2 linked regions of the Canis lupus familiaris genome follow. The protein of the gene in region 1 binds, or shares a complex with, the protein of each later gene. Links are inferred from orthologs where the notes say so. Each region holds a gene or a part of one and is shown in the gene's direction. Other genes may lie near its edges. The genes, in order: NUP214 and NUP93.

The links.
Region 2: NUP214 (region 1) and NUP93 share a complex: the UniProt entries of both Homo sapiens proteins name them as parts of the nuclear pore complex. The link is inferred for Canis lupus familiaris from reciprocal best matches to the Homo sapiens genes NUP214 and NUP93.

Annotation. Positions count from the first base shown.
Region 1 is NC_049230.1:53,016,360-53,024,516, reverse strand, and holds part of NUP214 (nuclear pore complex protein Nup214), read left to right. Parts: intron 1-1,048; coding exon 1,049-1,175; intron 1,176-2,277; coding exon 2,278-2,439; intron 2,440-5,321; coding exon 5,322-5,769; intron 5,770-7,486; coding exon 7,487-7,659; intron 7,660-8,157. UniProt on the Homo sapiens protein: Part of the nuclear pore complex. Has a critical role in nucleocytoplasmic transport.
Region 2 is NC_049223.1:58,736,859-58,744,354, reverse strand, and holds the end of NUP93 (nuclear pore complex protein Nup93), read left to right. Parts: intron 1-676; coding exon 677-795; intron 796-1,672; coding exon 1,673-1,790; intron 1,791-2,233; coding exon 2,234-2,317; intron 2,318-3,701; coding exon 3,702-3,830; intron 3,831-6,773; coding exon 6,774-6,884; 3' UTR 6,885-7,041; downstream 7,042-7,496. UniProt on the Homo sapiens protein: Plays a role in the nuclear pore complex (NPC) assembly and/or maintenance. May anchor nucleoporins, but not NUP153 and TPR, to the NPC. During renal development, regulates podocyte migration and proliferation through SMAD4 signaling.

The DNA of each region.
Region 1 (8,157 bases):
GCTGCAGGCGGCGCTAAACCGCTGTGCCAGCAAGGCTGTCCTATAGATTGTTTTTCAAACTTGATATCAACTTTATTTACATTATTATGAATGCAATTATTATTCACACCATAGCTAAGTCATGGAGTATGATTACATTCCCTTTCCTGAAGGGCTTTTTGTTTTCTCTCTGTTATTCATAGAGCATTATTTCCTTTTGAGTTGTGCTGCCCAGTTTTGGTCAACACTGAAAGTTAGACAAATGTGTGGTTTTTAAAAATCAGATCATAGGGATGCCTGGGTGGATCAGCAGTTGAACGTCTGCCTTCGGCTCAGGGCGTGATCCCAGGATCAAGTCCCATATGAGTGCTTCTTGCAAGGATCCTGCTTCTCCCTCTGCCTGTGTCTCTGCACCTCTCTCTGTGTCTCTCAGAGTGAATAAATAAAATCTTTAAAAAAAAATCAAATCATGTATTGGCAGGAATATAGCCCATTCAAGCACAGACATAAGCAGAAGAGTTTATTGGAAAGACTCAGTGGTTTCTCAAGAACCCTGAAGGCAGGAAGGGCCCCATGGGAGGAACAGATGCCAAGATCTGGGAGGATAAGAACTAAGGGTAATTCTGTCCATTAACAAGTGGGCATAGGGCATCTGGCCAGCCCTACAAGCCACATTGCTCAAGACCACAGTAGCAATCAACTGGAGTTCCTTGTGCCAATCCCACATTTCCAGGAGCAGCTAATAACTGTTTGGTGCAGGTATTAGATTTATCCACCACGTTTAGGAATGTACCTAGTTGGGGTAGACAGTACTTGGGAAAGTGTTCACGATAGTGGTTATTCACAAGGCAGGTACTTGGTATACCAGTAACACATGGGTTAATTTGGAAAATTAACCCCTCACTTGCTAGGATGCCCGTTGCTTTTAGACCATCTTTCCAAATTTCAGAGTCTGGTCAACACATAAATCTAAACCAAGTGAATTGTCTTCTCTCCTTTTTGAAATATGGGAGGACCATTGCAAAGCTCTAACCAACATAGCTTTTTCATCTTTACTTCTTTTTTCCAGATTAATTGGGAATCTTGGCTCCTAGAGGATTCCAGTCGAGCTGAACTGCCTGTGACAGACAAGAGTGATGACTCGCTGCCTGTGGGAGTTGCCATAGACTATACTAATCAAGTGGAAATCACCCTCAGTAAGTGTGGCCTGATGTAGCTCAGTGCAAAAGTGGTCGTGGTTGATATTGAAATCCTGTTCTGCGTGTTCATGACAGAATCTACTCTGCGGGGCACTTAACTCCTGGTAGTGCATTGCTACTTGAAGAATGATACAGAGTGCATTGTGACGCCACTAGATTAACTTGATTGACATTCATTGATAAGACAAAAGCCAGACTCTGTGCGTGTGTGTGTGTGCGTGCCTGTGTGTGTGCGCACCCGTGTGTACACTCACGCATGCCTATCTCTGTGTGCTTTCATGTATAGGTGAAATCTAGAACAGAAGGGTCTCATTGCCTTGTTTCTCCAAGCATTCCAGTTTCCCAGCGGCCTCCCACAGAAACAGCACCCTAGTTCAGTACTGCGTAACAGTGCTTGGTTTAAAGACACAGATCAGAGAATGGGGACCTCAAGCACTTGGCTTCCAGGGCAGGCCTGAATTTGTGCTATGAATGGGTCTTCTCTCTTGGAGCGAGATAGGGCTGCAGTCTGTGAGATGCACCAGTATAGTGGAACTCATGCCCTATGCTCTTTGGTACTTCAATTTAGAGAGGTGTCATTGTTGAGCACCACTAAGTTCCTTCCTGTCCTTTCCCTGGTAAGATTATTTGGTCTCCTTAGTTCATTTATTCTGAGTCTCTTCAAGTCCTAATTGACAAAATACATCTTAGGATTGAACTGTGAATGAATATAAAGTAGTTTGACTTACCTTTCTACGTCCTGTGTATTTTCCAAAGTGTGTAGTCTGTCACTTTTCTGCTAGGCCAGCCCCCTCCTAGAGACACCTGTCTTGGGACATCATGAACCCTGAGACACTCGTCAAAGTCTCAGGAGCTCAGGGACAGTCACAGCTGCCATAGGACTACTGGAACTTCCCTGCAGGGTCTGGCATGATGGTAGCCACTGAGAATGGCAGTAGTTCTCTTTCAAGAGCCAGTGCTCTCGAGGCTGTTCAGATATGAATCAGAGCAAACAGTCTTGAGCTACTGTTGGGGCAAGTCTACTATAGCCTTCTTGCTTAGAATAGTCTTTGCCTTCGGGACTTGGTTCATTTTTCACTTGTGCTTATTTTCTTAACAGATGATGAGAAAACTCTTCCTCCTGCTCCAGTTCTTATGTTACTTTCAACAGACGGTGTGCTCTGTCCATTTTATATGATCAATCAAAATCCCGGGGTTAGGTCCCTCATCAAGATGCCAGAGCGGCTCTCGTTAGAAGGAGAGCGACAACCCAAGTCGTCAGGTACGTGCCTCTTTCTGCTCTGTCACAGAGGGAGTGCCATGGGCTCGTTCTGGACCATCCCCAGGGATGAACACTGTGTAGGGACACATAATGATCCTCTTCCTTGAGCCAGTCTGAACGAAGCAGGGACTTTTCCTTGAACACACGCACATTCTTGCATCCTCTCACCCACAAGCTTTATTCTCCAACCTTTACTTTAGAGAAAAGGAAACTCAGCCAAATGAATCCCATCAGGTAATCTACCAACAGTATCCTGTTACAGCACCCTGTATCGTATGGTCTGAATCCTACCAACATGTTTAGTCCCAGAGGATTGGTTACATATGTCTTCGTATGTGCATACCGTGAATGCCACGGAACTTAAAAATGTTGCATTTGTTGACAAAGCTGTAGTCGAATGTATCATGAAAAAGCACTGTATGCTTTATGATTTCTTTCTCATTGAGAAAAAAATATGTACATAGGGAAAATACTAGCAAGTTGGATATTAAAATCTAAATAGTGGTTATGTCTGGGCAGTGGGAACATGGTGATTTTATTTTTGTTTATATTTAATTTACTTTAGGTTTTTCTCCCCTCCTCTTTGAAAATATTGCTTGAGTAGTATATGTTTATTGGAGGAAAATTAGAAAGTACACAATCATTTAAGAGCCCATCAGTCATCAAGCAATAGCCATAGTTATTAACATTTTGGTCCATATTCTTCATATACATAAATGCACACATGTAAACACTAATTTTCACAGTGACAGTATCACTTGTGAGAGCAGGGTGATGTTTACTTCTGAGCACAGTCCAGTGTGAAGGACTTTGCTCCTAGCCCATCAAATCCTCTAGCACAAGCAGAGGCTAGTTTTATTTTTTGCCTCATGCTTGGTCCAGAGGTGGTAGCCATGTTTAGATGAGCAGAAGAGAGCCATTGAAGGGGGAGAAAGTAGCCTGCCAGTTATAGCTAAAGCCCAGGGGGTAGACCCAGAAGACACAAATGGTTCTGCTCATTTTTACGCTACCGCTCCACATTTGCTTTGGTGAATGATCAGAAGTAGCAGTGCGGCAGTTTTCATATGTTCAGTTCTATTTTCAATTAAAGTGCCTCTAATTTCTTTCGGGTCCTATATGTACTCTTCATGTTGGTCTACTGAATGTGTGTGGAAGTGACAAATATCTATATGTTTGTGGTTTGTTTTTTGTTTTTTTTTAATATTTTATTTATTTATTCATGAAAGACACAGAGAGAGAGAGAGGCAGAGACACAGGCAGAGGGAGAAGCTGGCTCAATGTAGGGAGGGAGCCCGATGTGGGACTCGATCCCGGGTCTCCAGGATCACGTCCCGGGCTGAAGGCAACACTAAACCACTGAGCCACCTGGGCTGCCCATGTTTGTGTTTTTAAAGAAGTTGGTGGTTGCTGGTTCCCTATTTATTGTGTGAAAGAAATATTAACAATAAATTTGCTTGCATTATTATGCTTCCATAAAAGTGACAATTCACTGAGGTCTTCTTTTTTAGAAGTATTTTTATACTTGTAAGTGTTTCATTACTTTTGACATAGTGAAGGTAAATTTACAGCTCAGACAGTTTGGAAGAGTGGAGACCCACTAAAATAAGTTTATTGATTTAAAAAAATACTATTTTTTAATATATTTATTGAGTTAATTGAATTTGGCAAATTAACACATTTATAGAAAGTTGGGAAAATAGAAAAAAATTTAAACCTGCCCTCCTCTTCTCGTGTTTTTTTCATAAACATCTTTCTTCGTTGTTGTAATTCTATTGTATATACCATTGGTGTGTAGGTTTTTAATTTAAATTGTGTTTCTGTGTTCTTATATAATCTTTGTGATTCACATAAAAGAGTGCTTACTATTCCATTGAACATCTTTTAGCATTTGGGTTGTATTAAATGTGTTTTTCATGTTAGGTTATTTTTGTAGGCTTTATTCTTAGAAGTGGGATTTCTGAGTCTATTTTTTATGATTTTTTGAGACAATGCTAAAGTATTTTCTAAAAGATTATGCTAAATTTGGTGCCTACTAGTGATAAAAGTTTTCAGGTTCATGTTACCCTTCCAAGCATAAGGGGTTATACATATTTAAATTTTAAGGACAATAAAAAATATGCCTTATTTAAATTTGCATTTTTTTGATTACACACAGATTGAATGTATTATTTTATGAATTAGGTTCTCAGCTTATATCGTAGTCTTGGAATTTTTTTTTTGAAATTTCTTTATCTCAGTTTATGTGAGTTTTTTTAAAAATATAAAACATATTTGCTACAGATTTTTAAAATTTCATTTACCTTTTATGTAACTGTTTTTACACAGTCAAATCTTCATCTTTTCCTTTTGTGATTTTTTTTTTCTTTTGGTCACTTCTAAATTTCAGGTTGTTAGATTCAGTGACTTCACTCACTTTTTTGTCTCCTTTGTTTTGAGATGTATGTATACGTGAGCTTTTGTATACGTGGACATCTTTAATTTAGCTGGAATTGCTTTTAGTAACTGTTATGAAGTGGAGGTCTGAAGGGAAGTTTTTTCCTGATTGCTGTGAAATGTTGCAGAATGGTTTCTTTTTCCCTATAACACCGAGACACGCATTTTTCCTCTGGGATTCAGCTGTGTGTCCATGAAGTCCTGTTAACTTAATGCCTTTCCCTGTCTCTCTTTTCCTCTAAAGTTTTGTCCAACTTACTATGTGGAAAGTTTGCTGTGGCAGGTCCCCCATCAGCCCTGCTCTCTTTTCTCCCCCGCTCTTGAACTAGGACCTTTCTTTCTGTCTTCCCTCCGCTGCGAGTTTCTTTCCACTTGCTTTCTGCCGTATGGACCTCCACTGTTGCGGTGCTAACTTCTGTCTTCCTTTTTCTCCATTTCATTTACTGCAGGCAGTACTCCCACTACGCCAACCTCCTCTCAAGCCCCACAGAAGCTCGACACGCCAACCCCTGCAGCTCCAGTCTCTGGCCCACCTTCGTCACTGGCTGCCTCCCCCTCCACCTTCTCTGTGCCTTCTGCTGTTGGAGCCCCTGCCGTGTTCTCCTTTGGTTCTTCATCCTTGAAGTCATCTGGTTCTGTCCCAGGGGAGCCCCCTCCATATTCCAGTGGCTCTGTCGCATCCACCTTTTCTTTTGTTCCCCCTCCTCAAGCCTCCCTAGTGCCCACCCCTGTGGCCTCTCCCATGACACCATCTGCAACCTCGTTCTCCTTTGGATCCTCGGGGTTTAAGCCTACCTTGGAAAGCACGCCGATGCCAAGTGTCTCTGCTCCAAATATAGGACTGAAGCCTGCTTTCCCACCCTCAGCCTCTGCAGTCAAGGTCAACCTTAGTGAGAAGTAAGTAACACTTGAAGAAAGTTCGCTGCTTCTGTGGCATTAGTAGAAACATCACGTTGTTCCCTGGAAGTAGAGTCACGGTGGGTGGAGTTACAATAAATTTTTTCTTTTTCCTGTTTTCCAAAATGGTAACTGCAAATGGTGAGAATTCAAACATAAAAGGTTTGCATCTAATCAATGGATGGAGTCCAGGAGTCTCTTAGATAATTTTTTTTTAATCATTATAAGTTTATGTTTATATGCTGGTTTTTGCTTTTCAGATTTTAAATATAGAAGATATCCCTATCTTTATTTTGTTTTATTTATTTAGCTTGTTTTTTGAGAGAGAGCAAGCACAGGGAGGGGCAGAGGGAGAGGGAATCCCAAGCAGGCTCCACACCCAGTTTGGAGCTGGACTCTCGGGGCTGGATCTCACAACCCTGAGATCATGACCTGAGCCAAAATCAAGAGGCAGACCCCTAACCAACTAAGCCACCTAGGCACCCTGATAATCCTTATTTTAAAAAATGAAGCAATAAGGAATATACATCCTGGGTTGGGGGAGTGAATCTCTTAGAATCCTTCTGTCCCTTTACTCTGTGAACTGCTCTGTGACAGCCACTACGACGGTCTGTGAAGTTGTGCCCGTGTCAGGTGACTTCCCTGTGCAACAGTCCCCAGGGGCTTCTCACTGCTCTTCCTGGATAGTCCATAACTCCTTAACATGGTCCTCGGTTTCTTCCACGTGTGGGTCCTACCAGCTCACTCACATCCCATTTTGGACTTCTTTGTCTGCATCTTATGTTCTCCCTGCTGGAATGCAAGCCTTCTGCAGAAAGTGATCGCTGATACCCCATAACCCTCCCAAGCTTTCCTGCTCTCCTTTGCTGCCTTTTGTTGCCACGGAGGCAGTGCTGGCTGTCACCCTTGCTGCTGCCATTGTCACACAGCCACTTCATTCTAACGGCTGCCTAAGATTCTACTTTGTAGGGGAATCCCCTGGGTGGCTTAGTGGTTTAGCGCCTGCCTTTGGCCCAGGGCGTGATCCTGGAGTCCCGGGATCGAGTCCCACATCAGGCTCCCTGCAATGGAGCCTGCTTCTCCCTCTGCCTTTGTCTCTGCCTCTCTCTCTGTGTGTGTCTTTCATGAATAAATAAATAAATAAAATATCTAAAAAAAAAAAAAATTCTACTTTGTAGCCTCACTGTACTGTATGTGGCCAGTCGGCTCATGCTGGATAATTTAGATTGTTTACAGGCTTTTGCCCTGTAGGTAAAACTTAACTTTCCATGCCTATGAGCACCCTAAAGGTAGTGATCTGCTTTCCTCTGCCTTTCTGACTCCCCAGAGGAGGTGAGCGCCCCAAAGTGAGTTCTCAGTAATTTCATCGGCAGGACAATACTAGACATTCCTAAGTGTAACAGAGTCCTAGCCTCCTTTTTTTTTTTTTCCACTTGGTTTGATAGAAGGGAAAATAAATATTTCACAACCTGATAAACTTCATTTTTCCTTTATATAAAGAGCTCATTATAATTCATGGAATAGTTGACTCCTTAGAACACAGAGGATAAGATAAATGTTTCCTTGCAGCGTTCGCTTTTTATAAGAAATAGCTAAACATTATGTTTCACAAAGAAAACTATAGGAGCCGTAAGTTATCCATTGGTGGCATTGCTCATGATCAATGTGAAGGAGCCTCCTTGAGAGCGCTTCTCACACAGTTGGGCCGCCGTTTCAGGTTCACTGCAGTGGCTCCCTCCGCTCCTGCCATCAGCTCCCAGGGTGCACCCGCGCTGCCGTTCCCCTCCACCTCCAAGCCAGCCGCTTCTGGACCCCTCAACCACCCCACGCCCCTCTCAGCACCACCGGGCTCCGTGTCTTCAAAGTCCTCAGTCTCCCCCTCGGCATCAGGTATGATTTGAAGCAAACTGCTCCAGAGCTCAGCCCCAAATTCTTATGTTTGCATGTTTCCATTGTCAGGAGCCCGAGCTGCCATAGTCAGACTAGATCATTCATTCTTGCTTCCTATACCTCACACTGATGAGCTCTAACCTTTGTACTCTCAGTTGGGAAGATTGCCGTGGCCGTGGTGCTGCCATGCTTGGCTCTCCCAACATTTTTCATGATGCTAAGTGTGCTTGATGATTCAAAGGAAGTCTCTTGCTGTGTGACATCTGTCTTCATGTGGAGCCTGCCCTATATGAAGGGCAGTTATAGAACAATCCATGAAGTTCCCTTGAGGAGGAAAAGCCTGCAGTGACTTAGGCTTACTGCCTCTGATGGTTGTCCTGTGATTTTCACACCAGCCCTACTGTGAGCAAGTCTATTAAATAAAGATGACAAGTGGAATTGGTTCTCATAACCAAGTTGGATCGAAGGGCATGGTACAACTCCATGACCAGATGTACC
Region 2 (7,496 bases), on another chromosome or scaffold:
CTCCTGCTGAGGCCTTTTCTCCTAGTGCTTAGGCAGCTAATGGTCCTGTCAGGGTGAAATTCCCATTTTACAGAATTATTCCTGCCCACAAGGTATTTCTGGCCAAACAAGAGGAATGTATTGCAAGGATATCCTGCAGGCACTGAGCTCTAGTCTGACTTGGCAGCAGAATAAGCGTCCGTCACATTTTGATGGTGAAGCTTTGGGTGAAAATGCCTTCGTGCTCACCCTTCTGGTAGCCGCAGACATGCTAGTGAGCACTGTGTGTTAGGGAAGGGAGTGACAGCTAAGGCGTTTGGAGAGAACTAGAATAAGTATGTCGACATAACATATGGTGACTACTGATCATTGTGTGGCCCAAAAAAAGATTATGTTCTTTTTTTTTCTTTTTAATAAACTGAGAAAAGTAGGCCAAAAGAAGATTTATAATTCATTTTCTTGAATTTAAAGATGTTTTGATTGAGTTCTCATTAAGATGTAGGTAAATGTACAAACATTAAGCGTACAGCTTGGTGAATTTTCTGTAGGTATATATCTGTAACCATCATCCAGATCAAAGATACAGGACCATTTTTATCCATCATCTCAGAAAGTTCCCTCTTTTGGTGGTTTTCCCTTTTGCCTTTTGCTGATTATTTAATCAAGTCCTTCCTTAATTTTAAAAAAAATTGAGCAGAATGCTGACAAGGTACTGGAGCTGATGAACAGACTGCTCAGCCCTGTCGTCCCCCAGATCAGCGCACCGCAGTCCAACAAGGAGAGGCTGAAGAACATGGCGCTCTCCATTGCTGAACGGTAAGGCTGAGAGCTGGCTCCCAGGCTCTGTGGGGGCCCCGTACCAGGCTGCCAGGGTGCCAGTGCCCACCAAATCCATCTTTAGCTTTACCAGTCACATCAAGTAGTTTCCCAGAAACTCCCCATCCCTGTAGCACTGTTGAGACTTCCTGTTTTCCCACATCATAACCAATACTTGATACTATCAGACTTTGAGAGTTTTGCTAGAAAGAAGGGTATGAAAGCATATCTCACATTCTAATCCTGCACATTGGGTTTAATTCTAGGCATTGTACTCATCAATATACTGTTAGCAACCGTCTCAAAGACATTTCAGAACAAAGCTAGTGATGGCTGGATGGAATTCTTAAAGGTGGTAGTGGCCAATGTTTAAGAATCTGGCTTTCTTCCTCGGTGAGATAACTGAGTTATCAGACTTTAACTGATGGAACTCCCAGGCTGAGGCAATAGTCATTACTTTTTGTGCCCTCTACAGATACTCCTAAAAAAGTGAACCAGAGAAAATTGGGTTGGAGATGCATTCCTAGAGTAGCACAGAACACTCCTTATCAAATAATCCATTTAGCAAACAGTCTCCAGTGGTGGCTGCTGGGCTTTTGGCCCATCAGAACCTTTCACCCTTCCTGTAGATTTGGATGCTTGAGATGGTAGCTGGGGCTAGAGGACCGTGGTTCATGCAAAATATTTACAGATGGAGTCATACCAAATCCACCATCAACTTCGTGGCCATTTAAAAAGAAACACTACTTTCCACACCTTAATTCACCTCATCTAGAGATTTCACGAGCTTTTTGGCTTTTTTCAAATGTTTTAAAGTTAGACATTTGTACAGAAATTCATAATTTCTGTCCCCCCTTGCTGCTTTTTTGTCTTTCAGGTATAGGGCTCAGGGAATCAGTGCAAATAAGTTTGTGGACTCCACATTCTATCTTCTGTTGGACTTGATCACCTTTTTTGACGAGTATCACAGTGGTCATATCGACAGAGCCTTTGATGTAAGTTTCAAGAGGAATGTTTGAAGTGCAAGTTAATATATGCCCTTGGAAATTCAAAGCCCATCATGGGATTCATTTAAAACAAAGGAAGTGTTACCACATTCTTCACCTGCTAAGCGAAGAAGACAAGCATGATCCTGGGAATTGAAAAGGGATTTCTGTGTTTCTCTTTTTTTCTTCTTTTTCTCCCCTATTCCTTTCCCATTAGTTTGAAAGTGGAGGTTTCTCAGAGTAACTTAAAATATCTGAATTTTATAATTGTCTCAGAAAATGAGGTCAAGAATTAAGTTAGCAAATTAGAATCAGAGCCTTTGTGTATATGAGGGAGCAGCATTTTCTCTTAAGCCATTTTTAACATGTTAGATGCCAACCGTCTGTTTAAGGAGATGAAATGCCTGTGATGGTTGTATCATATGGGGCTGGTGGGGTTTTGTTTTAAACAGATAATTGATCGTTTGAAGCTCGTGCCCCTGAATCAGGAAAGTGTGGAAGAGAGAGTGGCTGCCTTCAGAAATTTCAGTGATGAAGTGAGTCCTTTTCTTCTCGCCTTATGGATTTTTTCCCCACTTCTGCTGAAAGCTTTTGTTTTAATGTAGCTGATAACATTAAGAGCCCTCACACCACTCAGACTGAGTTTTCTAAGGCGAGTCCAATTTCAGGTATCTTGGGTTGGTTTTTCTGTGAGTAAACATATCCCCATCAGATTATTGTCCAGATTCCTGACGCAGAACAGTCACTTTAGTTACTTGACATTTCCTTGGGGGAACAGATTTCTGGTTGATCCTGTGAAATCTGTTTTAATTTTGTATTGTCTACTTGTTCTAGAGGGTCTTGGTGCTTAACTCTGATTTTAAGTAATTCCCTTGAGTGTATGAAACCTGCACCATGATACACTTCCTTCCTTCCCTTCTCTGAACTATTTTGTCTTGAGAAGCAGAGCACTGACCATAGACACAGTTATCATGAGCCCATGACCCCCAGAGCCACTGTCTCTGAAAGGTTTCTAGCACGTCGCCACCATCTAGCTTGTGGGTACTCATTTGAGCTGCACACTGGGATTACTAAGAAAACTTTAAAAAATCATCATGCCCAGGCCCTCCCCTACCCCGTGCCCCTGAAATTGTAGTTTCTCTGATCTGGACTGGCCCAGAACTTGTCTGCTTGTTCCCACATGCAGCTGGGGTAAAACTCTTCTCTGGAACCCTAGACACTCAGGTCCCACTGTCTGCTTCTGGGATGTCATTAATGTCATTAACAGTGTTTCCATTTGAAAGTGTTAAACTCCAGAAGCAAATACCTTTTATGCAAACATGTTTCTGTTTTAGAGGAAGAATGAAGGCCACCTTCTGCACATGTGCTGGGGAGGCTACCTGCTGTGGTACTCAAAATGTAGAACGTCTTGCCCCTTGCCCACCTGCCCTTCCTATCTGCTGTCAGTTCTACCCCAGCCACTTGCCCTTTTGTTGTTTCTCGCGTTCCATGGAATGTATTCATTGCGTTCAGGACTAAAGTGGTGCCCAGGGCGTCCCTTGTAGACAGCCCCAAGGACTCTACTAGGGCTATGCACATCTGATGGAGACAGTCTGGCAATACTAAGATAGAGGGGCTCCTGAGGACTAGAGAACTGACGTGCTGACACTGAAGTCCAGACTTGTGTCGGCAGGCACTCTGCTGGTCGATCTGCGTACATAGTGGCCAGATGGCAGCATGCTGTGGGCCACTGCCCCACTTAGGAGGGATGGCATAAAGAAAGGAGCAGAAGAGTGACCTGCCTCAGCTAGGAAGCCTGGGCTTTGCTCTCATGCTTGCCGTTTCAGTGCCACTGGCTCCTTTTGGTGACCCAGTAGCCACCTAGCTGTGGTGTGCCCAGGCCGGTTCATCCTCCTCACTTTGTGTGTTTCCTCTGTGCAGGTCAGGCACAACCTCTCAGAAGTGCTTCTCGCCACCATGAACATCTTGTTCACACAATTTAAGAGGCTCAAGGGGACAAGTCCATCCTCGGCATCCAGGCCCCAGCGAGTCATCGAGGACCGTGACTCTGTAAGATCCCAGCGGTGGCCAGAACCATCGCTGAGAACCACCTTTCTGGTCTGCCGTCCCGTGCCACCTCATGACCCTGCTCAAGCCCCAGATGCTCTGTTTTCTTACTGCTTAGCAGCTGGGTAAACCCTGTGTCAGGAGTCTCTCAGAAGAAGTCCAACAGTAATGGCATGGCCGTTCTTCTCAAGCTTTAAAACAAACAGATGTGAAGTCTGCAAATACCACTTTTTTTTTTAAGAGAGAGAGTACATGTGAGCTTCTGGTGGGCGGGCAGGGGCAGAAGGAGAGAGAATCTTAAGCAGGCTCCATGCGTACTGTGGAGCCCGACACAGGGTTCGATCTCACGCAGGCCTTGATCTCACCCTGAGATCATGACCTGAGCACAAACCAAGCACCCCATGCAAATAATCGCCTTTAAAAAAATCAGACAATACCAATTCTTAATGTTTCCGTAGGAATTTCCTATGCATTTTAAAATAGGAAGGTTATGGGGTGCCAGGGGAGCTCAGTCCGTTAAGCATCTGTCTTTGGCTCAGGTCATGGTCCCAGGGTCCTGAGATTGAGCCCCACATTGGGTTCCCTGCTCCGTGGGGCCTGCTTCTCCCTCTCCCTCTGGTCTTCCTCCCTGCTTGTGCTCTCTGTCTCAAATAAATAAATAAAAATATTTTTAAAAATAAGTAAATAAAAAAGGAAGATTATCTTATGAATCTCTGCTCAGCACTTTCATCAGAACCATGAGTACTTTTGGTCAACACATGAATTTGATGCAAACCCTTGTTTCTGCTCTTAGTGACCCCAGAAAGGTACCTATGGCAGGCATCATTATCCCCATTTGACAGCTGAGGAAACGGAGGCCCAGAGTCAGGAAGCAGTTTCCTTTTGTGGGCCCCTTCAGTGGAGGTGAAGGAGCCATATCTGAAAACGAAGTCATCTGACATGAAGCCAGTGCCCCTTTCTGCTGCCTGTGGGCCCTCCAGCATTGTGTGGGGCAGGCCAAGTCCAGGTAGATAGAGTCCTAGGACTCACACAACATATGTTGTCCAGTAAATTGGACAGAAGGGCCAAGGGGTTTGACACAATTAAAAGTCCCTTTCCCTTAACTTCCCACTTAATGTTGAAATCCTGTTCTTTGTGGGCTTTCTTAGCTGTGACCCCGCAGGCACTGTCATAACCGAACTGCTGACTAGTGAGCGATGGTGGAAATGTTCACCTTCAGCAGTGTAGCTGGTGGTGCTCCAAGGGGTCCACTCAGTGGTGGGCCTATCCTTGTGTGCCCCCAAGGCAGCTACTGATCTGCCGTGCACCCTTGGACAGGCACAAGCCTGAAGCTAAATGTCAGGAGACATGCCAGCGGTGGACTCACTGTGCCTGGGCCTTGGCAGGCGAGTGTTGAAGTGGTGGACGTTTCTGATGTTCCGTGTGCTGCTCACGGGCCAGAGGAGGGCTTGTACAGAGAGTAGAGCAGTGACCTGGCAGGCCCTTTTCCCACATTTGAAGGGAACTGTTCTAAGACCAGCTGAACTCACATTCTCTGTGTCTTAAGTTCTCTTTCTTTAAAAAGCACTTAGGTTTTATCACGAATAAAGCCATTCTCCTATCTTTCTCTCACTCACTACTCCTTTTTTATGATAGATAGGGATGAGTAAGATCAAGGAGAGACTTAAATGTAAAAACTACCTGCCTAAGGAGTGAGTCCCTTTGCCTGAACACCCTGAAAGTTCATTTAAAGTAGCTTCAAATCAGGCATGAAAGCCCATGTACTTTTTTTTTTTTTTTAAGATTTTATTTATTCATAAGAGACACACAGAAAGAGAGAGGCAGAGACACAGGCAGAGGGAGAAGCAGGCTCCCTGTGGGGAGCCCGAAGTGGGACTCGATCCCGGGACTCCAGGATCACACCCTGAGCTGAAGGCAGATGCTCAACTGCTGAGCCACCCAGGCATCCCACCCATGTACTTTAATACAGTTTTAAAGAAAATCTAATGGGCATTTTCATCATAAATTAAAAATTTCTTTTGGTTTGGACAGTCATTAGGACATATACTTGCCAGTTTATTTCACATATCAGGTAAAAAAAAAAAATTGGCTTTCAGTTTTCTTTTTGAATAGTTCTTAGGAAGCCTAGTAAGTGACCCTTGGATCTTCCTTAAAAGTTGTTACTGGTCTAAGAGATGTTTGTAGACTCTCCCTTTCTACTCCAGATACAGTTTCCTTCCTAGCTGCTATAAGCACCCAACACATCTCAAAATAGGGCAACCTGAAGCTATTCTTGTAAGTTTCTTTATTCCATGTTTAGTGATTTATCACCTGGAAGACACTGTGAAGGTTGTCCCGTTTTCATTTTTGTTTTTGTTTTCCTGTTACTGAAATCACCTGAGTTAAAATCTTTTTTCCTCCCAGAACAAGCTAGGAATTTCATAACTACTACTGCCTAGGAAAAGAGGGCCCAGCACTTATGTCAGAAGGGAAGAAATGGGAGGAGTAAAAGAAAGGAAAAGGGAAGAAAAGAAGCAGGAGAGGAAGAGAGCTGGAATGGGATTGGCTGCCTTTGTGGGGGCCTGAGAACTTCAGACCGCCACAGAGCCAGGTGAACAGAAACCAGCCAGGAGAGAGAGAGAGACAGAGAGAGACAGAGATGTAGAGTTGGCTGCCTGAAGCACAGGGCTGTGTCAGAACTGATCACAGAACTGATCACAGGCGAGGCAGCTTGTCTGGCAACCTCATCTGTCTTTTGCTTAGTAGACTGGGCCCCAGTGGATGAGCTTTGCTAACTCTGCACCATGGGGGCGGCATGACAGTTGGGGGTAAGACTGTCATCCACCCACCAAAAATCTGGCCCTGACACCAAGGGGTAGAACATGGAAGATGATGGTGGTTGCTCCCAGTATAGTGCTCTCACTTGGAAGTTCATCAGTTTTCTTCTCTTCTTTCCCTTTCTCTCAGCAACTCCGAAGCCAAGCCCGAGCCCTAATCACCTTTGCTGGGATGATACCCTACCGGACGTCTGGGGACACCAATGCAAGGCTGGTGCAGATGGAGGTCCTCATGAATTAAGTGTGATGCTTTGAGGGGCTTCTGGGACTGCACGCTGTCAGTACCTCGGGCGCATGGGCCCACTGGGGTGGAGTTTCTGGTTTGTTTCTGTTGTGTTTTGTTTTGTTTTTTTGTATTATGTATTTTTGTCAGCACCAATAAATTTCTTTGATTTGTATTTCTTTTCACATTCTTTTTTTTTTTCTTTTTCTTTTTTTTTTACTTTGAAATTTTTTTTAGATTTTTATTTGTGTGGGAGGAAATGTCTTTACTAGTGCTTGGGCCAGAGAATGATAGGCTTACATAGGCATCTGTGATTTGGTTAAAGTTGACCTTAAATGATTAAACATTCACCCAAAATGAGCAAGGAAATGAAGCCTTTGGGAGTTGCTTTTATTTAGATAGAGTATTCCATATGGCAGGGCCTCGGTTCTTTTCTTTTTTTTTTTTTTTCTTTTTTTTTTTCTTTTTTTCTTTTTTTTTTTTTTTACATTTTCATTTGTGAAAGCCACCCTCAGCCTTGCCCCTCTCTTCTCTTGGACGTGCCTTGGGGTCTGGATGGTCTAAGACCATCCTCCAAATCATCTGCTCTATTCCAGGATTAATTAGTTTGCTCTTCTGTTGAAATCCCAC